7 linked regions of the Ovis aries genome follow. The protein of the gene in region 3 interacts with the protein of the main gene of each other region in a pairwise test. Links are inferred from orthologs where the notes say so. Each region holds a gene or a part of one and is shown on either strand. Other genes may lie near its edges. The genes, in order: MFSD5, TMEM218, CREB3L1, GPR25, PGAP2, FXYD6 and FAM3C.

Region 1 (3,969 bases), on a different chromosome or scaffold from region 3:
GTCTCACTCTGGATGTGGAGTAAGGTTTTTGCTTGGCAAATGGGGAGGGTGCCTGTCTCCAGGGTAACAAGATATGGAGGACCTCAGAGCCTCAGGCTTTTCCCACCCATTTCTGTTGAAAGGCAATTCCACAGTTCTCAGTTTAAGGTGGAGGCAGTCTTAGAGAGGGCTTCCCTGGTGGCTCAGTGGTAAAGAATCCGCTTGCCAATGCAGGAGACGTGGGTTCAATCGCTGGGTCAGGAAGATCGCATGGAAAGGGCAATGGCAACCCACTTCAGTACTCTTGCCTGGGAAATCCCATGGACAAAGGAGCCTGGCAGGCTACAGTCCATGGGGGTCACAAAGAGTCAGACACAACTTAGCGACTAAACAAGTCTTAGTGAAGCTAGAAAGACAAACGTTCCACTGGTAACCCCACCTCTCTCCTCACAACCTCCAGCTGCCCCCTCATAAGAACTACTGAGGTGGGTACAGGTGAGGATGAGTAAATGAGATCAATGATCAATTAAAATTGTTTATTTTAAAGTGGAAAGGGGGATGGGAGTGACACAGAGGCAACTTTTGGCATCTTCTTTCCAGGCCATCACCCCATGTGCTTCCCAACCCAAAGCACTGACAGGAGGAGCCCCCGGACAGGCTGAGGGGTCACAGAGAGATCTGTTCAGCCCTGGAGAGGTGGGGTTCAAGGGTCCATCCCAGCTCCCTGGTCCTAGAACAGGGTCAGAGCTCAGGAGTGTAGGGCTCCCCGGTGGGCGAGGGCACCCGCAGCTCAGCATCGTGCCTGACCACAGTGAAGAGTCCCACCACTGCCAGCAGAGCCATCACCATGACGGCGGAGCAGATGCTGAACATATTCCGAGTACCCGTTTTGCGATCGCTGTCATGGAGGACCAGGAGCCCCAGGCAGGCCAGTAAGTGCAGGGGCACCCGGAACCAGTTGAGGACACCAGCTTGCTCGGTCTCAGGGATCACTTTTCTCCGCAGGAAGCTCATGCTGGGAAAGTACAGTCCACAGGCCAGCTCGATAAGAAGGAAGGCTATGAAAGATTCCACTGGACTCTCCTGGCCTGGGCTGGTGGAGAACGTCAACATGAAGAGGGAGAAGACGACGATGAGGACAGCGAGGGAGAGTAGATGCATGGGCTGAAGGTGGTACCTCTTGGAGGTAGCGATGCGGTACAGGGAAGAGCCAAGTAGGCTGGCTGCCATGAAGCTGGAGAAGATGATGCCCAGCGGAGCCCCATGTGGGTCCAGCACAGGCGTCCAGAGGAAGACAAAGATGAAGATGACACTCTCAAACAGGGCCTGGATGGTGCCTAGCAGGAGCACACGACGGTCCGACAGGAGGCAGCGTAGGCCACCAGCACAGGTCCTAGAGAAGGCACGCTGCCGATCATAGTTCTCTCCCCAGTTGTGAAGGGCCAAGGCCCCAGCCAGAGCCAAGAGAGGGATGGCGGCCACAAAGGGCGCTACAGGCCCCAGGCCCATCCAGCAGGCCACGGCCTCAGCTGCCACACCTGCCGCTACAGCCAGCACATGGTTCCAGAAGGCAGCTCGGGCAAAGGTAGCCGGGATCCATTCGGCGGGGAAGTCATGCCGTTCCAGGTGCTCATGGATATACCAGGCCTCGAAGGCTGAGAAGAGCAGGGCTGTAGATAGCCCACCTAGCGCTCGGCCCACCAGCAGCACAAAGTAGTCTCGGGAGAGTTTGGTTAAGCAGCAGAGTGAGTAAGTGAGGGAGAAGAGGACACAAGATTTCTTGCGACCCAGCCAATCCACCAGGGAGGAAGCCACCAGTCCAAAGAGGACGGTGGAGGCAAGGCCACAGACGTAGAGGATGGCAATTTGTGCCTCCAGGAAGTGGTAATGCTGATACAGTTTGTAGAGGTAGGGGGCCTGCAGCCAGTCAGCTGCCAGGGCCAGGAAGTAGACCTGATAGAAGTCCAGTTGAAACCGAAGAAAAGAGGGATTGCTGCAGGCCCTTCCAGAGGGCTTAGCCCGGCATCTTGACAGCTCCAACCCCAGGCAGGAGGCCAGGAGGACCACAAAAGCAAGGTAAGCAGTCACCAGCATGGCCGGCCCCCGGACGACCTGGGAAGAGAAGGGGGCTTCAGAGTCACATCCATTGCCCGGGTAGCGCTGTCCAGGGGCTGCCTGTCTAAGCAGAAAGCGGATCCACCCAACCCCCACCCCTGCCAACAGCACTCCCCAACCCCTCAATTCCACTCCCCCAGAGCTCAGACCGGAGGGACCAGTTGGGTGGGTGGGAGGAGTGGCCCGCCAGAGCGGGACACTCTGGGGCAGGGAGGGGTGTGAGAGGAGAGAAGATTGAGCATTCGCCCCACCCTTTCCTGGCAGAGCAAAGAGGGAGTACCTAATCCCAGCCCCGCAAGTTAAGGGGCTGCTGCCCTTCCCCGTAACAGCGTTTACACACTGTACTTCCTTCTGTTACCTCCCATCCTCTCTGGGGAGCCTATTTTTGTCCTCGAGGTCTCGTCATCTGTCCCAGGCATCCCTACCACCCGCGCAGGCCTCTAGAGTTGCTTCAGGCCACGCGCGTGCATCTCAGATTTCCCCCTCCTTCGGGTCAGGGCACCCCCGCCTGCGCCCCCTAGACCCCGCTTGCCGCCGCCACACACGCTCGCGCCTTGCCCAGACCCTGGTCTCACCTGCTGCCCCGGTCTGCGGGGACGCTCCGGACACGTCCGGCTCCAGGCCGCCCGGCCGCCCTTCCCGCTCTACCTCCTGCTCTGGCTCCGGCTCGGGTTCCACCAGCGCGCCCGCCCCTCACAGCCTGCTTCCGGGAGCCTGGGAGGCCTCTGGCCGCCGCCATGATGGCCCCATCACGTGACGGGGGCGCGGCGTTCAAACCCCGCCCCTGCTCCGCCCTCTAGCCGCGACTCGTCTGCAACCTCCGGACGCCGGCGAGGCCAAGACTGGAGGCGGTGGTGGTCGCCGTTTCTGCTCCTGGTTCACTCCCATCCGTGGCCTTCCCATGACACTCGCTTCTTCGACTCCCGGATACCTACCGAACCTCCTGGAAATAAAGACCCATTTTCAGTCTCTTCCTCCGTGTCGTGGGTTACGGAGCGCTGCTGTGCCTAAGACAATGCCAGCAGTTCCGCAGAGTCGGGGTTTGATCTTCTTAAGGAACATCGTCACCCTAAGCCGAGACGGGCTTCTCGATTTTCTTTTCTCCCACGATAGTGACTTCCTGGCCAGAAGTCAGTATGGCTCAGACACCTGAGGGAGGCAGTGTGGTGTAAAGGACGTGGACTTGGCTTGCAGACCGCTAAGGCTCAAATCCCACCCCTATCACTTACCAGCTGTGTCGCCTCGGGCAAGCCATATGACTTCTCAGTGTCCCAGTTTCTTGGTCTGCATCATAGGAGAGCAGCGCCCAACTGAAAAAGGCTTTAAAGTTCAGTGGCAGTCAAGAGTTAAGAACTTCAGCCTTGGAGTTGGACGCCCACCCTCTGCTACAGCTGTGGTACCTGGGAAAGGTTTATTTAACTTCTTTCCAGCTTTAGTATTATCTCCTCAAAACCCTCCCAGGGGGAACTTCCCTAGTGGTCCAGTGGCTAAAACTCCTCCTTCCAATGCAAGAGGCCTGGGTTCCATCCCTGGTCAGGGAACTAGATCCCACATGCTGAAAGGAAGATCCCACCTGCCATAATTAAGACTGGAGGAAGCCGAATAAGTAAATAAATATTTTAAAACGAAACGAAACAAAAAAACCACCCTCCAATGGCTTCTTATCTCACTAAGCGAAAAAGCCAAAATCATAATAGCCTACAAACTCCTTTGTCCTCTTTTCCGCTGCCACTTCTCTGACCTCATCTCTTACCATTTTCCCTCCTGCGCCTTCTACTCCATCTACACTGGTTATCACTAGGGCCTTTGCACACTGTGCCCTGTGAAGCTCTGGTTCTCCCAGATATCCACATGGTTCCCTCCTGCAGCTCCTAC
Region 2 (3,500 bases), on a different chromosome or scaffold from region 3:
GCACCGAGGAACACGAAAACGGCAGAGAACCTGTGGCCCAAAGACAGGGGGTTAAAAGCACGGTTTCGTGTTGGGCTGCGCCTGGCTTTTCCCTGGGGCCCATATTCTGCCTCAGTCCACTAACAGGGCCCAGTGTGCTGCCCCAGGGCCACAGGAATTCAGAAACGTTTCCCCTTCCTCCCAAAGCCCGTCTTCCCAGACAGGTACCAGCAGGATGCATTCCTGTTATTCCTGGGAGTTCCAAGTCCCTAAGAATGGGAATTGGTGGGATTTTTAAATTTTATTTTTAATTGGAGGGTAATTGCTTTACAGTGCTGTGTTGGTTTCTACCATGCAAGGTGAATCAGCTTTATGTGCACATATATCCCCTCCCTCTTAAGCCTCCCACATCTCCCCCTCTAGGTCATCACAGAGCACCGAGCTGGGCTCCCTGTGTTATACAGCAGGTTCCCACGAGGCAGTTTTACACACAGAAGTGTATATATGATATGTCAATCGTGCTCTGTCAGGAATAGGTAGTTTTTATTTTGACCTCTGTGTGGTCATACGAAAACCCAAAGTGGTCCTTCCCTGATCCCCCACTGCTGTGTTTGAAACCAAAAAACTTTAGTAAATGATGTAACTTGTTTTGTACCTACACAATCTGGCCAGGGAGTATGACTCTACAGTGTCCTTAAGAGTCAGTTTAGGCTCTGATTCTTTAAGTCAACACCAGCCCAAGTTATCCACAACCCTTCAGCTTCCCGGGGCCCTGGGCTAGAGCCTCAGGGGCTGGACCCAGCACCTGCCATGAATCTCAACAGTTAAGAAACATGCACACGCGTGACCCCAAGAAACTCACGAGACAGCGAAAGCAGATTCTCTTTTCATCTCCCATGTCCTCATCTCCTGTGTGCTGCGAGCTGACATGTACCCCCTCCTTTCTCCTCCCACCTCAGCTTCCGAGTATAAATAACACAGTCAGTGCTTATGATAAAGAGGTTAAAATGCAACTCCTTCCAACTGCCGGTAATGACAATGAGCTCCTGAATTCTAAATGTTTCATGAGCGTCAGCGATTTCGCATCTGATTGCTTTTAGCTCGGACTCCCCGCTAGAGAGAGAGAAGGACTTACCTCGCTGCCCCTGAGGCTCTGGACAGCAAGGCACACAGCAGCAGCACCAACACCCAGAGCAGGGCGAGGATGAACACGCCCGGCCCCACGCCGAGCACCGTGCCAGCCATGCACGGCACAGCACCGGGCACAGTGCGACGAGCTGGTCCTGCTGTTAGCGGTGCTGCTGCGCTTCTCAGTGCTCCTGGGTTTCCTAGGGGGGGACACACAAAGTCTGAATTCATTCTGGGAAACTTCTGATGATTGGGGTGGGAAGAGGATTCATCAATATAGGTCTTAATAGGTCTCTCTCAGAAACTGACAGATCAAGCAGCTAAGAATAAACCCTTGACAGAGGATACACAAATGGCCAATATATATGTGAAAAGTGCTCAGCTTCATTAGTCACTCACTTCAGTTCAGTTGCTCAGTTGTGTCCCCATGAACTGCAGCACGCCAGGCCTCCCTGTCCATCACCAGCTCCCGGAGCTCACTCAAACTCATGTCCATTGAGTCAGTGATGCCATCCAGCCATCTCATCCTCTGTCGTCCCCTTCTCCTCCTGCCCTCAATCTTTCCCAGCATCAGGGTCTTTTCAAATGAGTCAGCTCTTTGCATCAGGGGGCCAAAGTACTGGAGTTTCAGCTTTAGCATCAGTCCTTCCAATGAACACCCAGGACTGATCTCCTTTAGAATGGACTGGTTGGATCTCCTTGCAGTCCAAGGGACTCTCAAGAGTCTTCTCCAACACCACAGTTCAAAAGCATCAATTCTTCGGTGCTCAGCCTTCTTCACAGTCCAACTCTCACATCCATACGTGACCACTGGAAAAACCATAGCCTTGACTAGACGGACCTTTGTTGGCAAAGTAATGTCTCTGCTTTTGAATATGCTATCTAGGTTGGTCATAACTTTCCTTCCAAGGAGTAAACGTCTTTTAATTTCATGGCTGCAGTCACCATCTGCAGTCATCTTGGAGCCCAGAAAAATAAAGTCAGCCACCATTTCCACTGTTTCCCCATCTATCTGCCATGAAGTGATGGGACCAGATGCCATGATCTTAGTTTTCTGAATGTTGAGCTTTAAGCCAACTTTTTCACTCTCCTCTTTTACCTTTATCAAGAAGCTCTTTAGATCTTCTTCACTTTCTGCCATAAGGATGGTGTCATCTGCATATCTAAGTTACTGATATTTCTCCTGGCAATCTTGATTCCAGCTTGTGTTTCATCCAGCCTAGAGTTTCTCATGATGTACTCTGCATATAAGTTAAATAAGTAGCTTGACAATATACAGCCTTGATGTACTCCTTTCCCGATTTGGAACCAGTCTGTTGTTCCATGTCCAGTTCTAACTGTTGCTTCCTGACCTGCATACAGGTTTCTCAAGAGGCAGGTCAGATGGTCTGGTATTCCCATCTCCTTCATTAGAAAATTGGAAATAAAATACAGTACCTCTAGGCACCTACCAGAATGGCTAAAATGAAAATGATGGACAACTCCAAGTGTTGATCAAAATGTGGAGAAACTGGAAGCCTTGTACTCTGCTGGTGAGAGTGTAAGTTCTTATTAGCACTTTGGAGACTCTTTGGCTATATCTAATAAAGCTGAATATGTGAACCCTAGATCCAGCTGTTCTCTTCCTGGTGTGTCCCCAACAGCCATGTCATAAGTTCACTAAAAGATGCACAAAAGTTCAGGGCAGACCTATTAGAAATAGTTACAAACTGAAATGACCTAAATATACCTCAATTGAATAGATAGGGTGAGCTTTCTCAGGTGGCACTAGTGTTAAAGTATCTTCCTGCTAATGCAGGAGATGCAGAAGACCCAGGTTCGATTCCTGGGTCAGGAAGATCCCCTGGAGGAGCAAATTGCAACCCACTCCAGTATTCTTGCCTGGAAAATTCCATGGACAGAGGAGGCTTGTGGGCTACAGTCCTTAGGGTTGCAAAGAGTTGGTATTATAGATACAATTTATTCATTCATACAATGAAAGAGTAAAAAGAAGAATGAATAGACCACAACTATATCCAGCAATGTGGGTAAGTTTTGAAAATATTAAATATAAAAAGCTAGAGGCAAGAGTTCACACTGTGTAATAACATGTATATAATGTTCAAAAACAGTTCAAACTAATTTGGGGGTTAGAAGTCTGGAGTGTGGTTGCCGTGTAGAAAGAAGTGACTAAAGGGGCTTCTGGGGTACTTATGAAATTTTGTTTCTTCAGCTGGATGTGGGTTACACAGCTTTGTTAATTCTGCTAAACTGTATCTAGCTGTCGGAGAAGGCAACGGCAACCCACTCCAGTACTCTTGCCTGGAAAAGCCCATGGATTGAGGAGCCTGGTAGGCTGCAGTCCATGGGGTCGCAAAGTTGGAGATGACTGAGCAACTTCCCTTTCACTTTTC
Region 3 (3,500 bases):
TTTTGCCTTCTTAAAGCATGTGCTGAGCTGATGGGTGAAGCGGTTTGGCAATTAAAAAGGCCCAGCGGCTTGGGCAGCGGCAAGGGGGAGGCCAGGTGAGGGGTTCTGGGTGGGAGGACCCTCTCTCCTGGGCCAGGGAGCAGCGAAGCCCGCACTAACTTCATAAAATACAAAACAAGGGAGGGTTGAAGGTAGGAGGGAGACTTGTAAAATACAATATCTTAGGGACTGGCAATAATAAAAAATAAGGTTCATTATTTACAAACAATTTCTGTTCTTGGTCTCTGTACAGTGGTGGGGGGGGGCGGGGAGGGGCTTAGTGAGTTGGTCTGTTGGTGTGTCTGTGTGTGTGTATGTGGTCGTGGTGGGGCAGGGAGGCAGTGGTCCTCTTGGTCATTATAAGAAAGGAGGTGGGTAACCCAGTGAGTGGTTTATCTGAGAAGGACGGATGGTTGTGGGAGGGAGGGGGTGAGAACAGAGTGGTTGGCCCAAGGGAACAGTCCAAATATGGGGGGAAGGGGGGCCCCAGTCAAGATCTGGGGCAAAGAGGGGCTGGTAGGGGGTGGGGAGTGGAACCCTTTCTCCTGGGAGGGGACCCCAGGGGGCAGGGGTACGAGCCGGATCCGGGTTGGTGAGCAGGACGACCCCTCTTCTGAGTACCAGAGGGTACGCCCTGTGTCCTGGGTCTTGGCACGGCCTAGGAGAGCTTGACGGTGGTGTTGGGACCCAGATCCCTGGAGAGAGAAGAGAAGTCAGGGATGACTCTGTCTGGGAAGGACCCTCTGGCCCCTCTGCAAGCTGGGTTTGGACTTGGGAGGGATGGGGCTGCGGGAGGGTGTGGCTGACAACGCGGAAACCAGGGGTGAGCAGAGGCTGGGTGGAGCCTGGGAGCCCAGGAAGGGAAGGGGCCACCCACCCACCTCTCGTGGAACCACTCCTTAGGGTGGGAGAAGTCAGGGCCCGTGCTGTTCCCACCGACGTCCTTTGGCCAGGCCTCACTCAGGTACTTGCTGGTCTCATGGGTGCTGTCCAGGTGGTCATGTTGCAGGTGGTCCTGGGGTCGCTGCTCCACCGGCCCCCCGGGCTTGATCTCCCAGCCATCCGGGGGCTCCACGGGCAGCAGGGCACTGCGGCCATCCTCCCATGAGCCCGCTCCCTCGTCGTAGAACAGGAGGCTCCGGGAGGGCACTGGAGAAGGAGCTCAGGGTGAGCCATGGTGCCAAGGCTCCCTCCCCGTCTAGCCGCATTCAGCGCCCAGTGGTCATGGACCTGGGCCCTGGACTCTTTCAGGCCTGGATCTGAATCCAGCTCAAATGATTCCCAGCTGTGTGACTGCAGGCAAGCCATGCCTTTGCTTTCACCTTTCTGAGCTTGCTCATCTGTAAAATAGGAATACTAGGGGCCAACCTCCCGTCGATGTGAGGTTTAAATGAGATAACAGAGTGACTGAAGCTGCACTCAGAGCCAGTTAGCACTCCCTAAGCAGAGGGCACTGGGTTGGGGCATCTGAGAGCTGGGTTCTCATCCTACTGAACCACTCCCTTCCTGTGAGACCTTGAATAAACCTTTTCCCCATTTGAGGCCCCAGTTTACCCCTCAGGGAGATGAGGAAAAGAGAAAACACATTTGTTGGATATCTACCATGCCTATCAGACATTGTCGGCATCCTTTAACCTATATCAAATCATTAACAGAAACTCTCAGAATGAGATATTTTTAGGTGCATTTCACAAAACAGGCCATTGAGGCTCCAGGTTGTCAGGGGCGCTGTCCCGGCCTAAGGAAGATGCACTGCGGCCGAGCTGCAGACCCTGGCCCGCCTGGCTCCAGGAGCCACCAGCACCCTCCTCACTCTTGGGGCCCTGACCTCACGGTCTGCCTGAGCAGGGCCCCTGCCTCTGTGCGCTGCCCCAGCTCCGTGGGCCAGCCTGCTCCAGGGCTCACTTCCTCCTCTTCGCCCTGCGGGGACCCTGAGCCTGAAACCCACTGCGCTCACTCTGAGGGGCTCATTCATTCCTGCGCTCCTCTGGCTCCTCTGACTCTGCTTTTGTCCAGCAACACGCCTCCCCTGCCCCCTAACCCCACTCCCCCAGTTTCCATTCCTTCCTTTCCAGGTCCTCTGTGCCTCCCATCACACAGACCCCTCTGGCCTTAAGGAAACGGACATGTGCCTCTCAGGAACTTACATCCCTACCACCCACCTCCCTTAGCAACTGCCTCTTCTCTGGCTGCTCTGGTCCAGGGAGGGGTTTTCACTCCTCGCTTCTGCTTCCTCTTCCCCTAACCCTCCCCACGGCCTCAAGGCCCTGCAGTCCCAACTCATTCTTCCCGCAGCATCCCTCCTCCTTGAAACTCACTCCCGCCAGCTCCTCGCTCCCTCCAACCTCCCATCTGTTTCCTTTTCCTCCCCCTGCCCTGCTGGATGGTGCGCTCCAGGAGGCCATGAGGGACTGTCTGGAAGTCCCTCTGAAGGTCTGTCTGGAGCATCCTCTGCCTCCGGAAATCCACACTATTCTTCGCTGCCCCCCGGGCCGGTTCTCCCCTTGCCACTGCGTGTTGTGTCTTTTCTCTCCTCTTGCGAGCGCATCAGAAAGGGAGCGACTGTTGTTCGTTTAGTAAGAGCCTGCTGTGTACCAGGAACTGTACCGAGAGCCTTCATGCACCATGTCATTTCGTCTTCACAGCAAACATGCTCAATAAGCGTGGAACTGGTAACTCCCATTTTTGAGATAAGAGATTAAAATTTAGCATGCTTCAGACACATGCCCGAGGTCACGCACTTAGCGAGTGGCAGATATGACTGACTCGGAAACTCCATGTTCTTAACAGTCCTCACAAGCCCCTTGGGGTGGTAACTAGCTGAGTCCACACCACTCCCACGCTTCTGCCCATGACAGACGTTACCAGCGGATCTTGCCACTCCTGCCTGTCGATCCTGAACGGGGCCTCAGAGTCCTTCTGAACAGTGCTTCATGCAGCCACTAACATCTTATGGAAAACGGCCCTGGAGCTGAAACTCACTCGCTACCCCGGTTGTAAAATCTTGATGGTGGCTTAGCAGATGCCCCCTACCAACCAGCACCATAATACATGGGGGCTAGGGTGGGAACATTCCTATCATTCCCTAAACCTCCTCCCCTGGCCAAGCCACTCCTGGGTGGGTTGGGAATCAGGGGCTCTGCACTGTAGTTCTAATTCTATAACTAATATCAAACAAATCATAGACCCTTGGGAGAGGCCTCAGTTTTCCCATCTGCAAAATGGGAAGGTAGAATGAGACAGTGTCATCCCCAGACCTGGCTCCTCACTTGCGTCTGTCTTCTGCCCAGAAGTTGGGGCTGGCGTGGGGGGAGGGCAGCCCTGCTTGGGGCACTCACTCTGACTGGCGGTGTAGATGCTGTCAGTGGCCATCGGGTCTTCCTTCACAGTCTGGGAGCCAGAGGAGAACTCAGGGAGGCAGGGCACGAGGGAGCCCAGCACCAGGACGAAGCACAGGGCTG
Region 4 (3,849 bases), on a different chromosome or scaffold from region 3:
AGGAGAATTCCTGAGTTCTTTCCTGCACTGACGTTTCTTTAGGCCATATCTGCTTAAAAGTATAAAGGCTGAATTCCCAACCCCTCCAGAAACCCCCAAGGATGCCGCAGACTCAGAACATGGATGCCCTTCAGCATTTGTCCTGGATGGGCCCAAAGGGAGTGAGGAGAAAGCTCCACCAGGATTTGACAGCCACAAGGCCACACTTCCGCTTTGAAGTGACACCTGGCTGGCAGCTGTGCTCCAGTCTTTTCCCCCTCCCTCTCTCTCTGAAACCTCCAAAATGGGAAACGTCCTTTAAAATAGTAAGAAGAGAAGACAGGCTGCCCTCCTGGGGGGCCCACGGCGGGGCCGCTGTCCTTAGCCCAACTTGACACCAAATCCTGACCACTTTGAGGTCAGCCTCAACTCCTGGATTGAGTTTTGTCTGACCCAGTGATTAAGTGGCCCCCTCACACTCATTTCAGTCCCTTACACTCAAGTAAAGGCAGACACAGCTGTCGGGTGAGGGCAGCAAGTGTTTATTGAGAAAGGGGAACTCACACTGCGGGGCCCAGTGTGGCAGCCGGTCAGAGCATCCGAGTGCCCGGGGACAGATGCTGGAACCCTCTGTCTGCAGGGAGGCACCCGCCCAAGTCCAGGGTGAGTCCTGCGGCTTCTTGGGAGCTGGGGAGATGAAGGACGGGCCTCCTGGGGTCGCTGGCAGCAGGAAGGGGTGAGCGCGACAGCACCGTGCTCCCCATGCTTTGGTGAGTGTTGAAATTGAAGATGCGGACGCGTGACTCAGCACAGCCACCAAGACGGCAGAGCGCAAAGGTCCGGGATTCTTTGGAGAGGAGCCAGAGGGTTCGGCTTGGAGAAGGTATTTCTCAGCAGGCAATGGCGACTGTAGGGACCAAAGGTAACGGGCCGCCGAGACGAGAGTGGCCTCTGGGCGTCTCTCCCAGGGCGCAGAGCAGGGAGGCCACTTCCCTTTCCGAGCCCGGGTCGGCGTGGCAGGTCCATCTCGCAGGACGTTTACTGCGCTGGAGACAAAGCTCAGGTGCGCACTGGGCGGAGCAGGAGGAGAGCGGGTCTCCGGAGCCGAGCCGGGGGTTGGGGGGGGTGGACGCTGGAAGAGCTGAGATTTTGGGAAAGCTCGTGAGGGAGACCCCGGGAGGCCCCGCGCACCCGGCGGAGCAGTCCGCTGCGCTCGGGGAGGTGGGGAGGTAGGCGGCGGTGGGGAGCGGCCCGCTTCGCTTCCCTGCGCCACCCGCAGCCCGCCGGCCGAGCAGCTACGGGCCGACAGCCTTGGGGGCGCTCGCCGTCTGGGCTCGGCCGCCCGCGCGGGCCGGGCTCCTGAACGGGGAGCCGTCGTCGCCGGAGAGTGATGACGCCGAGCTGCTCCAGCGCGCCGGGCGGTCGGCGCGCCCGCAGGCCCCGCGCTGCCGCAGCTGCGCGCGGAACGAGCGGTCGAGCAGCAGGTAGATGAGCGGGTTGGCGCAGCTGTTGACGAAGGCCAGGCAGGTGGCGACGGTGAGGCCCCAGCGCAGCGCCAGCAGCAAGTGGCAGGGCAGCGGCAGCGCGCCCAGGCTCGCCAGGTGGAAGACGGCGCGCAGGGCGCAGAAGGGCAGCCAGGAGCCCACGAAGGCGCCCTCGACGGCCAAGATGATGCGCAGCGAGCGGCTCCGCGCGCGGCCCAGGTGCGGCGGCCCGCGCAGGCGGCGCGACACGCGGCAGTAGCAGACGACGGTGACGGCCAGGGGCAGCACCAGGGTCAGCAGCAGCAGCAGCAGGCTCAGGCCCTGGAAGGCGTCCGACGGCTCCTCCCCGCACTGGCTGCCGTGGCCCCCGCCGGGCAGCGGCCGCAGGCGGCGGAAGGCCAGCGACGGCAGGCCGGCGGCCAGCGCCGCGGCCCACACGCCCGCGCAGGCGGCCAGCGCGCAGCGCCGGGAGCGCGGGGAGCGCGCGGCCAGCGGGCGGCCCACGGCCAGGTAGCGGTCCACGCTGAGGCCGGCCAGCAGCAGGGCGCCCGCGCAGCGCGTGCCGGCCAGCGCGAAGCTGCTGAGCTTACACAGGCCCTCGCCGAAGGGCCAGCGGCCACCCCGCGCCGCCGCCGCGGCCCACAGCGGCAGCGTGAGCAGGAAGCCCAGGTCGGCGGCCGCCAGGTGCTGCACGAAGGTGTCCACGAGCCGCCGCGGGCCGCGCGCCCCGGACAGCAGCCACAGCACGAAGGCGTTGCCCGGCAGGCCCACGGCGAAGGCCGCCAGGTAGAGCGCAGGGATGTAGGCGTGGCTGTAGGGCAGGTCCCGCGCCGCACACAGCTCCTCCAGCTCCAGCTCGCCCGGTGCGCCCGACCCCGAGTAATAGTCCCAGGGCGCCGTCCCCGCGCTGGGGCTCCAGGGCTCCGTGGGGCTCATGGCCGGAGACGCCCGGTGGCGGTAGCGGGGCCAAGAGGGAAGGTGGCTCTTCACGGCCCGTGCCCAGCCCAGCACCTCCCTTCCTGCCGCCGCGGGCCGAGGCGAATGGGTGGGCAGGAAGGGGTGGGGGCGGGGGAGGGGCAGGTGCCTGGGAAGAGAGGGGGGCGAGATTCGCGGTGGGGCGGAGGGCCGGGGAGGTGGCTTCCCAGCTGGGTCTTTGGAAGAAAAGCTCCCGGCTGGATCTGCGCCCTGCCTCCCGTGGGAGCCTGACCTGTCCCTCATCAGTCACTGGTTTTATTGAACTAGGAGTGTCAACGGTTTCAGGGCCCGGAGGCCCGGTAGAACAGGCGCTCAGAGCCTCAGTCCCTCTCACCCCTTCTTGGCTACCGGCTACTGTCTGTCTCTCTCTTAGGATTTTCCCCAAGGAGGTGCCAGCTGCCAAGATTCCCCTGGCCTCTTTGCAGAGCCGGCGCGTGGAGGGAGCCTGCCCTTGGGGGCCTCCCTACAGTCAGGGGCTGAATACCAGACTCTCCGATGCCGTTAGCTCCCTGAGCTGCTGGGTCTGGTGTCTTAGCCCAGGGTGGCATTTCTGACCAGCTCAGGTTCTCAGGGAGCCACGGGGAGGGTTTGCACCTGAAGAGGGAGGGTCAGCCTGTCCAGATGAGGCAGCAAAGCCTGGAATCTAGACCCCAGCCCTTCCCCACCTTCCTTCCTGGGCAGAACCTACCTAACGGAGCCTATGGGTGCTAGGCCCGGAGCGCAAGATGGAGCAGGACTCAGCGGCAGAGGCGTTGTCCTCAACCAGGAGTCGGGAGTTTCAGAGGAGGACGGGATCCCTTGTGGACTGAGAGGCAGGAAGGATTCAGAGAGAAGGGTGGGCATGTAGCCTGGCCTTGGAGGCGGCGGTGGGCCAGGGACAGGATGGGGGCAGGGTTCCCGAGGATGCTGGGCATTGTCGGGCCTCAGCTCCTCTTGGCACGTCCTCCCGCGAGCTGCTGCAGTGAGCTGTGACAGTGAGTCCTCCACAGAGCCGTGCCTCATTGTCACCAGGAGTGGATGAGCGGTTGGGTCATCTGGCGTTAAAAATTCGAGGAGGGTTATTTTTCCATTTTATTCCGTACAGCCCTGTTACAGCAACCGCCTCCGTGTGGCAGGCCCCGTTTTGGGTGTCACAGGAGATGCCGGTTTTGACCTTGGAGGGTCACTAATCAGGCCCCAGAGACAGATCTGTATGTCCCATGTGCAGTGGCCGGCGTGCCAGAGGTCACACGTCCTGGTGTGAAGGTTAATGAAGTCCCCCTGGAGCTCGGAGGAGGGGGCAGCCCCTCTGACTGAGGAGGAAGTCCTGGGTCTTTCCTGGCACCCGAGGTGGGGACTGAGAGGCCCCTGGACACGCGGAGGGGGCAGAGCCCACCTGCACCCTCAGGGCAAGTTAGTGCCAAGCTGTGGA
Region 5 (3,500 bases), about 25 Mb from region 3:
GAATCTGAAAATCTGCATTTCTAAAGGACTCCATAACTATGGAAGTTACCAGTCTGTTGCCCACACTTTCTGTGGACTCTTTTATTTTTTTTATTTTTATTTTTTTTTCTGTGGACTCTTTTAGACCTTCAACAAGAGCCAGAGCAGTACCAGAGCCCAGAAACCCAGAGAGCGAATGACCCTGCTGTGATGATAGCAGGACCAGTCTTCATAGTGGAGTTCTGGAAGATCCCTTCCTGTCTGCCAGTGGGGATGCTGAATGGACCTCAGAGTGGCTGGGAAGGCAGGCAATAACAGAAGCAGCTCACGGGGCCGGGGAGGGCCTGGGGTGGGACCAGCCAGAGCCTTCTCAAGCCTTCACAGAAAAGGAGATGGATTCCCCCCAGCACTGTCAGAGGCAGCTCAGTGCAGAGCTTTCAGAGTGTGATGCTCTCAAGGTACAACTTGAGATACTAAAGCTCAAGATCAGTCTCAGATATTCAGTGATAAGGCAGCTTGGAGGCAATGAGTGTGCATCCCAGCTCTGCCTTTCTAAGCTGGGTGACCTTGAGCAAGTCACTTTACCTCTCTGAGCTTTTCCTCATTGGCAAAATAGGGATATCACCTGCCTTGCAGGGTGATGGTGAATACTAAATACAATGTATGCAAGGCATCTGCAGTGAGTATAAGCAATGGCTTTCAGAAGACAAACTTTCCCAAAAAGCCTGCAAAAAAATATGTGATCTATGTGGCTACTGACCATGGGAAGGCCGGCTTCTGAGTGACAGGTGGGAGTCATATCTGGACTGGACACTGCTGAGACCTCCAAGCCTCTTCACTTGACTTTCCTGCTTCTCTGGGTAGGTCCCCTGTGTAGGGTTAGTGGGAGTGTTGTCTTCACTTCCTAGAATATTCATTCTGAAAACTCCTGCCCCAACCTCAGCTACTTTAAGAACTGTACCAACATCTAAGGCTTGGCTGGGAGAACTCAGAGCACTCAAGGGCCCAGAGCCCTGACTGATGCTGGGAAATAGGTAAAGGGTAGAGATGACACAGAGTTTGGGGGGATGCCTCAGGAGGATTAGAGAATTAGGGCCCTGTGGCTACTCGTCCCATCCTCGCAAGCTCCTCTCAGGTTAGGGGTGGGCACAGCATTCAAAGAGTAAGAACTGCCTCCCTCTTCAACTCACTCAAACTCTCTCTCTCTCACACATACACATACACAATCAGGTATAGGTACTCATATTCACCCCTGCCATCCCAAGTACTAACGTTCCCTACTCACCAACTATGCCAGCAACAAGCAACATAGAATCTATCAGAGCCTAGGTACACAGTACCCAAATCCCCCTCCCCAAAAAGCCCAGAGCTAAGGGTACTGAGAGATGGGAGCATAATTCCTTTCCCCAAGAGTAGAAACCCTTTGGCCTGGAGGACATGACTCAGTGGATCTATGGCAGGGCAGCAGATCAGAAATTCACACGGTGTAAAGGGAAGGGGTCCAAAAACTTCCTTATCATAGCATCTCATGTTTCACCATTAGAGATTCATTCTTTTGGCCTCAGATAAAAGTCCCCTGACTTTTATGGATGACCTTTCTTTATTTCCTACCACCCATTCTCTTCCCTATCCCTTGCCAACTGGATAAAAACTCCTATTCCTATCACAACGCAGAGTACTAACCACTATATGTTCACAGCTCCCATTTCTATCAGAACTACCTGCTACTCCTCTCTGAACTCCATCCCCTTTTCTCTAACCTCATAGTCCCCATCTCAGCTGGAACCTCCTGTACCATGAACTAAACCCCTGTACCCTGCCCTTGCCCTGTTGCCCTTAAATCTGTTCTGCACACAGGAGCCAGAATGGTCTTCTAAACCTCAAATCTGATCATGTCCCTTTCTTGCTTAAAATCTTTCCAAAGCTCCCCATTGTCCCCTGGATAAAATCAAAAGTTGTCAACCTGGCACTCATGAAAATCCTTCTTCACCCCCACAGCAACAATTCCCACCCACACCACCCCTACCGGACTCTCACTCCCCTCCCCTCACCCCGACCGTCACTCCAGGAAGAAGTCTCTGATTTCTGAGCTGGGTGAAGAGCTTCTTCTGAACCCACCAACTCTATGCTCCTTTTATCACAGAAGGAATCTCATCTCACAGTGCTGGGAACATCTGTGCCTAAGTCTGTCTCTTGCAGGAAAAAGATGCTAAGGGCAAGTCCATGTTCAACTCCATGCCCCTGATACAGAACCTGCGTCCCTCTGGGCCCTCAGGAAAGGCTTGGTGGACTGCTCTTAGAAGCAGGGGCTCCTTCTAGGTTTCCAGCTGGCAGAGCTCTGAGGATTCAGGTTGTGGGGCCTGAGATTGCCAGAGGAGAAACCAAGCTAGAAGAACCCAAGGCAGCCCAGGGCAGGACCTCTTGTCTGGGCTAAAGCCACTCATTACTTCTCCTCACTCCTGGCCTCATCTTAGCCCACAGTCCTGGCTTCTTTTCCAGTCTGGTCTTTCTTCAGCCCTCTTCTCCCTTTCGAGATCTCTCCTGCCTATTCCCTCTCTTCCCTTCCCCCTCCTCCCCTTCTGCCACCTTGTACCCTCTACAATCCTCTTCTAGTCTTGGAGGACTGTGAATCTACTTTCCCTGGCTCTCTCTCCCCAAAACACACCCCCTGACTTCCCCCGACCCCACCATCCTTTTTTCCCCCTCCCCTCTCACCCTGTGCCTTCTCTCCGACTCTGACATTCTACCCTTATCACCATCTCTTGAACTGGCCCTGACCCAGGCACTGGGGAGCCTGGCACTCACCCCACAGTCAGTGGCCACTGTGTACTCAAAGTGGAACACCAGAGACCAGATGATGCAGAAGAAGAAGCCGAACACAGGGAAAGTGATGACCCATGAGACCATGGCTTTGAAGCTGAGCCGGAACACAGTCCCATCGGGGTCCAAGGGCTGGGAGGCCGCAGAGAACATCCTGTAGGGAGTGGTGCTCAGGCAGGGCAAGGGACACAACTTGGGGCCTGGTGGGGATACCTGGGCCTGGGAAAGTGGGGCATTTTCTAGAGCTAGCTCCTCAGAGGGCAGGGAAAAGGCAGAGTAAAAGAATAGGAAGGGCATAAAGGAAAAAGAAAAGTGCAGAAGAGGAGGTATAAGGGGGAAGGGCCAGGACAGCAGAGAGAGGCAGGGTCAGCTCATTGGAGTCCCCTTGGCACACTGCTCTTGTAGGTTCACCTCTGGAAAAGTCTGGAGAATCGAGGCTCCCAGTGGCCTGCACATGGGACTTCTGATGGCCTGCCTCATTCCCATGACCCTCAGGAAAAGGGTCAGAGGATGGAAGGGTTATTCTTCCCATATCACAGAAGGGAAGACCGAGGCCCAGAACTATGCAAGGATCAAACATTAGGACTAAGGCCTCTTGCCACCTGACAGCTTAAGTCTCCAAGCCAAGGCCTTCTTCAGGGCAAGTAACCCAGACAAAGGACCCTTGGCTCAGACTGGCCCAAGCTCTCCTACTGACCCTG
Region 6 (2,387 bases), about 47 Mb from region 3:
GGTGCTCAGTGAAACAGCGAAGCATGAACGAAATAAGTACTCGATGAAAACAAGCACAGATACAAAGGGGCGGGGTGGCTGTATCCATCAGGGCGTGAGTCGGGGAGTCACAGGGGAGAGGAGACGGGGGCTGTCCTCAGAGGGCTCCGAGGCGTGTCCCCCTGCGTTTGTTTCCCCTCATGAGCCTGGGCTGCTTGCAGCTCTCAGCGCTTACGTGGTCAAGAAGACAGTCGTGTTGAACCTTGACATCAGAAGAGCCCTCCTCCAGCCAAGGATCGCCACATACAGCTGTGCAAGTCGTGCACTGCACAGAGTCCCAGGCTGCTGGTCACACAGTCCCACAGACTCACAGCGCAGCCCTGCTCGGGCTAAGCCGGACACTGACCCTGGATGGTTTCTTTGCCTTTCAGGTCGCCGATGCAAGTGCAGTTTCAATCAGAAGCCGCGGTAGGGATACCATTGCTGTGGGCACCTGGGGTGACGCTGGGAGGGCTCAGGGAGGGGCCCGTGGTGTGTGACCCCAGATGAATGATTTCTGGATTCTTGTCTCAGAGACAGGCCATGTGCATTGGGGTAGGGGTAGAAGTTTTGAGGGTTGCCAGGCAGCCTTGGGGAGAAGGCAATGGCACCTCACTCCAGCACTCTTGCCTGGAAAATCCCATGGACGGAGGAGCCTGGTGGACCACAGTCCATGGGGTCACGAAGAGTCGGACACGACTGAGCGACTTCACTTTCACTTTTCACTTTCTGGTGTTGGAGAAGGAAATGGCAACCCACTCCAGTGTTCTTGCCTGGAGAATCCCAGGGACGGCAGAGCCTGGTGGGCTGCCATCTATGGGGTCGCACAGAGTCGGACACGGCTGAAGCGACTTAGCAGCAGCAGCAGGCAGCCTTGAGGGCAAAGGAGAGGTCAAAACGTCAAGGGTCAGCCTGCCCTTCTTTCTTCTGATGTGTGTGGGGGGGGTGGGGGAGGGGGAGGATGCTGGATCCTTGTCTGGAGGCCCTTGAGACAGTTGAGCTTGGCCTCAGGGTCTCTCTTGAGGTCTGTCTCCTCTCCAGGACCTGTGATGCTGCTCTGCGGGTCACCTGTCCATGAGGCTCTTTGATTTTTGTGGAAATCTGGGCTTCCTCTCACTCCCCTTTTGCCCCTACATAAGGGCACACTCATTAGTCCCTATGGTAACCCAGGGCAGCCCTGGACCTCAGAAGTCCCAAGTCAGTGACAGGACACACACCTTCCCAGCACTTACCCATCTTGGGTGCCAACATCAAAGGGTGCCCATCAATTCCTCTGACCTCTCCCCCACCCCATGAGCCCCATAATGGAGAATGATCCACCATGACCTGGAGGAGATGAATCCCTGGGCCCTGCCCCAGCAAGGGGACTGGCAGTGCTCTCTGGGTTTGCCCTGGAGACCTCTGACGGGCTTGCATCTTGTCTGCCGGCAGGGCTCCTGGGGATGAGGAGGCTCAGGTGGAGAACCTCGTCACTGCAAATGGTAAGTGTTAAGACCACCTGCCCAGGTGGGACGGAGGAAACGGGCAAGGGTCCTTGTGCAGCTTGGGGTGGAGCATGGTTGTCAAGTGAGGTGGCTTCTTGAGAGCTGGCTGGCCAAGCATGTTTCCAGGTGCCAGAGAGGGGTCCCAGGTCCTCTGCTCTGTGTCATCCCCTTACCTCCACGAGACAGGCTGCTGTTCCTGACTACTGCTATTTACAGGGACTCTGCTCAGTGCTGGGCATGGTACAGAGTGTTTCACTTCTCAGTAATGGGCACACAGCCCCAGGAGGTAGGCATCACTCTCCACATTTTACAACAGAGGGGCTCAGAAAAGTTCAGGAACGTGCCAAGTCCTCTAACAGGCGAATAGGAGACAGGGATCTGCCCGGGTCTGTCTGACTCGCAGTCTGCATGAAGCACCCCTGCTCTGCGGGTCAGGCTCCCCCCAACCCCCGAGACAGGCATAGCTGCTGCAGGGGGGTGGCCCACTGGGGTGAGGAGTTCATTCCCCCCACCTCCATACATTCCCTGGGCTCCATTCTGGTTCTTTTTCCAGCCACGGAGCCCCAGAAAGCAGAGAACTGAAGTGCAGCCCCCAGGCGCAAAGGTAAGTGCTGTCTGCCCATATCTTCCTGTCACCATCACTGTTCTGACCAGAGTCTGGCTGAGGAGTCATCAGGGAGGAATTGGCTAGCTTTTGCAATGGACATGGCTTTGATCATGAGCGGTGCTCTGCAGAAACTCAAGCCTGAAGGGTGATGAGACAGATGGACTAAAACCTCCCAGTACCACACGCACACACACACAGAACACGCAGTTGGGAAATCGAGCTTCCTCACAACCCAGCAGTCAAGTTGCTCAGGCGTCATCCTAGCTGCCACGTGGGCA
Region 7 (3,500 bases), on a different chromosome or scaffold from region 3:
CTGATCAGTTCTGGGAATGGAGGGACCCTCCCCAAATCCAAGCTTCCAGAGCCAGTCAAGGACCAGTCTTGCTCTTAGGCCTTTCTAAGCCCTGCTATAGTAATCCTTTTCTGCTTAGGACCTCAAGGTATTCTCAAAGGAAAGTAAGGAAAGATGAGCAGAATCAAAATGAAAAGCTTAGTTTCCCATTGCTGCTAGATTGGTTAGTTTATTCATGCAGATCAAAACAATTTCTGAAATTTGAAATCCAGAAGGAAAAGACTGCCCTTCATTATATTTCTTAATTGTAAAAATTTTTAGATAAGAAAAAATTGCAGGTACTTCTGGCATGGGGCCAGGCCTGCATTTGGGTAAACACCTACTGTGAAGGCATTTTTTTGTATATAAAGCAATCTCTTGGCATTTGTGAACCTAACATTCAGCTATTTACAAGCAGCCCTGAAGCCTGCACCCTGAGATGCAATTTGTGATTTTTCTGAGATGTAACTGACTGAAGCCCATAGGCCTTCCTCCAGGAGGTTGTCACTAGGCTGCCCTAGTAAGCATGACCTCTGCTCTGCACCATTTATTGTAGATAAAGCAGCAAAACTCACTACTAGCACTGATGATACTAGTAAAATGTTCTAATTAAGAGGCCAGCAGTAGAACATTTGAATAAACTAAAGAATGGAATGTAATAGTTTGCAGATCCATGACATACGAACACTTCAGAAACAAGAAAACAGTTCATATAGTACTTTCAGGAGATGTCCATCTCCTACAGAAATTGCTTACCAAGTAAGCAGATGAATGAAAGTGATAGCAATTCATGTAAGGATGATTACAAGAAATACAGCTACAGACCCACTTTGGGGAGAAAGCCAGACGCAAGTACGTGTAGTTGTGTGTGAAGTTGTCAGAATCTTCAGAAACAGACTTCCCTGGTCCTTTTGCACAGCCATTTCATTTATTTTGATTTCCCTTGGTTATAAATGCATCACTTGATATAGTTATGAATCTGAAAGACTTAGTATTCCAGGGCTGCCCCTGATTTTCTCACTGATTCTTATGACCTTTCCCAGGAGGGCAGCAGTGCCCAAGCTGTGGTTAAAACAGATTCACTGCCCCCTGGATGTGACTAATTGTGAAAGGCTAATGACATATGTAGCTCTATCCTGTTCATGAAGCTTTTTTTTTTTTTAACATAAAGTATCCTGTTTATCTTCAGGTTAGTTACATGAGAACTGTCTTGCCAGTTTCAGATACTTCACATAAAATATTTAATGCCCTAAAAATATTTGAAAAACTTGAGTCATTTTGCAAACATTTGAAGTTAACAGATAAAGTCAGGTCTCTTATATTTGCATTTAGAATTGAGTATAAACTCATTGTATGTCAAATAAAATTATTTTTTAAATGTTATCAGTCCCAATCAGTAATCAGGACTTTCCTGTTGATAAATGTGTTATTATCTCTTCAGGCAAAAAGTACTGTTATGAAGTAGATATAAGTAAACATAGTGTTAGAAACATCCAGATTTCTATTAGCACTTACCTTAATTCTACTCAAATGTAATTTATAAAGACTGTAGTGGAGATTTAAAGTGATTTTTAATTTTACAAAGATGTTGACTACTTAAGAGCTTCTATTAGCCTGAATAGGTACCTACTGACAAAAATGACAGTTTCCCATTTTTATTTGATGGAATGTAGATGAAAATGAACTGTTGTTGTGAAATTAAGATACATAAAAGGTACTTCTAAATAGCATAAGCTAGAAATTTATTTGCTAGATTTCATAACTTTCATCATTAAAGATTTCAAATAGTAGGAATGTTACTCTGATAAAATTTATTTTTTTATGTTCTCTTATTTAAGCCAGGGTTTTCTCATTTATTTCATGGTTGTATGTTAAATATTGTAAGTGTATCAGTATTCGTTAGACCACATACAGTACACTACATTTACTGTATCATTCTTTTTCTCTCTCTTCAAGACTCAATGATGAGGCCCGGCGGCTGATTGCTGAACTGGGGAGTACATCTATTACTCATCTTGGTTTCAGAGACAACTGGGTCTTCTGTGGTGGAAAAGGCATTAAGACAAAAAGCCCTTTTGAACAGGTTAGTGTCTCAGACTTCATAATTAATGGGCAACAGCAATTGTGTGAAACCATACAGTATGTATTCCTATCCCAGTTATTTGCAACTTAGATAAAGCAGACATTAAATATGTTTCCATAATATGTTTCCATATTTTCCATAGGTTCCTGGCAATCAGTTATTTGGAATAATCATGACACTATTTTAATTTTAAAATTAAAAAAATTGTCTAATTATACATGAAATTTTTTTCCTATGTGACAATGCATTGGCCTATGATTACTTGTATCATAAGACCTTTAGGAAGTTGGTTATTAAAAATTTTAGCTGAACTTTTGATATTAGAATCAGTGAAGTACAGAAATACTTTAGAACTTAATAGAATGTAAACTTATTTTTGACTTACAAAGGATCTTTAAAGACCATCTGTGGTGTTTTGTTCTTTCAGCTCTTCTTTGAAGGTCTGCCAGTGTATGCCAGACCCCAGGCATTGCTCATCTAATATCTTGAACACTAATTTATATGTTAGTAGAAGTGTTACTGAAATGAGTATGCTTAATTATGTTATTGCAGATATGCAGTTTGCTAAAGTACTATACTGTGGTTGTGTTCCAACAGCACATAAAGAACAATAAGGACACAAATAAATACGAAGGATGGCCCGAAGTTGTAGAAATGGAAGGATGCATTCCCCAGAAGCAAGACTGACTTGGAGAAAACTGAAGGGAGCACACTTTCACTGTTAGTGGGAAAGCTCTACCAGAAAAACTACCTGTAAATATTTTAAGAGCATGCAGCCATCTCGGTGTGTGCATGTCCATTATCTCTTTTGATATCAGGATTATTTATTGCTGACGTAAATAGCTGTCTTTGTAAATAGTCATCATCATAAGCAAATCACTGAACCATTTTCAAGCACATCTCTCTAATGGTACAATGTTCAGACCATGATGCTAATAGCATCTTTTAATTCTAAAAGCATACCAATGGATAACTGAACAGATATGAAAAATATATTGATATATATACTAGTCGCTGTGAAAATCTATCATGGAATGATATGGATTTTAGGGAGCAGACTTTGTTTTCTTTTACATATATATATGTATATTGCCTTCTGATGATGGTATCTTTTAAATTAAAAAGATATTGGGCTAGTTGTGTGTGTAATGTTACTTTACAGTCTGACTCCCCTGTTGTATTTCTTTTCTTAGTCTTTTTCTTCCCTTCCCAAGAAACCTATAAATAAAATAAGAAAACATATCAAATACATGAAAAGCACAACAGAATTCTTTGTTTAATGTATACAGTACAAAGTAAATATATAAATGTAGATGGCATTCAGAACTGTAGTTTGATGGATTTTGTGTTAGCAGTGCGAATAACTTGATTTTGCATAAGCTATTCAGAGTGAGGCAGG

Evidence for each region.
Region 1: the proteins of CREB3L1 (region 3) and MFSD5 interact in binary tests that used the Homo sapiens proteins (3 or more experiments, as listed by UniProt). The two-hybrid records come from large-scale screens. The link is inferred for Ovis aries from reciprocal best matches to the Homo sapiens genes CREB3L1 and SLC61A1.
Region 2: the proteins of CREB3L1 (region 3) and TMEM218 interact in binary tests that used the Homo sapiens proteins (3 or more experiments, as listed by UniProt). The link is inferred for Ovis aries from reciprocal best matches to the Homo sapiens genes CREB3L1 and TMEM218.
Region 4: the proteins of CREB3L1 (region 3) and GPR25 interact in binary tests that used the Homo sapiens proteins (3 or more experiments, as listed by UniProt). The two-hybrid records come from large-scale screens. The link is inferred for Ovis aries from reciprocal best matches to the Homo sapiens genes CREB3L1 and GPR25.
Region 5: the proteins of CREB3L1 (region 3) and PGAP2 interact in binary tests that used the Homo sapiens proteins (3 or more experiments, as listed by UniProt). The two-hybrid records come from large-scale screens. The link is inferred for Ovis aries from reciprocal best matches to the Homo sapiens genes CREB3L1 and PGAP2.
Region 6: the proteins of CREB3L1 (region 3) and FXYD6 interact in binary tests that used the Homo sapiens proteins (3 or more experiments, as listed by UniProt). The two-hybrid records come from large-scale screens. The link is inferred for Ovis aries from reciprocal best matches to the Homo sapiens genes CREB3L1 and FXYD6.
Region 7: the proteins of CREB3L1 (region 3) and FAM3C interact in binary tests that used the Homo sapiens proteins (3 or more experiments, as listed by UniProt). The two-hybrid records come from large-scale screens. The link is inferred for Ovis aries from reciprocal best matches to the Homo sapiens genes CREB3L1 and FAM3C.

What each region holds. Positions count from the first base shown.
Region 1 is NC_056056.1:133,235,855-133,239,823, forward strand, and holds MFSD5 (molybdate-anion transporter), read right to left. Parts: upstream 2,774-3,969; 5' UTR 2,670-2,773; intron 2,092-2,669; 5' UTR 2,074-2,091; coding exon 721-2,073; 3' UTR 501-720; downstream 1-500. UniProt on the Homo sapiens protein: Mediates high-affinity intracellular uptake of the rare oligo-element molybdenum.
Region 2 is NC_056074.1:25,990,358-25,993,857, forward strand, and holds part of TMEM218 (transmembrane protein 218), read right to left. Parts: 5' UTR 2,559-3,500; intron 1,308-2,558; 5' UTR 1,225-1,307; coding exon 1,115-1,224; intron 31-1,114; coding exon 1-30. UniProt on the Homo sapiens protein: May be involved in ciliary biogenesis or function.
Region 3 is NC_056068.1:75,250,612-75,254,111, reverse strand, and holds part of CREB3L1 (cyclic AMP-responsive element-binding protein 3-like protein 1), read right to left. Parts: coding exon 3,378-3,500; intron 1,189-3,377; coding exon 921-1,188; intron 735-920; coding exon 698-734; 3' UTR 1-697.
Region 4 is NC_056065.1:78,883,387-78,887,235, reverse strand, and holds GPR25 (probable G-protein coupled receptor 25), read right to left. Parts: upstream 2,479-3,849; 5' UTR 2,400-2,478; coding exon 1,275-2,399; 3' UTR 501-1,274; downstream 1-500. UniProt on the Homo sapiens protein: Orphan receptor.
Region 5 is NC_056068.1:50,010,720-50,014,219, forward strand, and holds part of PGAP2 (post-GPI attachment to proteins factor 2), read right to left. Parts: intron 2,969-3,500; coding exon 2,785-2,968; intron 1-2,784.
Region 6 is NC_056068.1:28,227,947-28,230,333, reverse strand, and holds part of FXYD6 (FXYD domain-containing ion transport regulator 6), read left to right. Parts: intron 1-410; coding exon 411-447; intron 448-1,449; coding exon 1,450-1,499; intron 1,500-2,055; coding exon 2,056-2,084; coding exon of another isoform or gene 2,085-2,106; intron 2,107-2,387. UniProt on the Homo sapiens protein: Associates with and regulates the activity of the sodium/potassium-transporting ATPase (NKA) which catalyzes the hydrolysis of ATP coupled with the exchange of Na(+) and K(+) ions across the plasma membrane.
Region 7 is NC_056057.1:87,488,010-87,491,509, reverse strand, and holds part of FAM3C (protein FAM3C), read left to right. Parts: intron 1-1,974; coding exon 1,975-2,101; intron 2,102-2,698; coding exon 2,699-2,788; 3' UTR 2,789-3,500. UniProt on the Homo sapiens protein: May be involved in retinal laminar formation. Promotes epithelial to mesenchymal transition.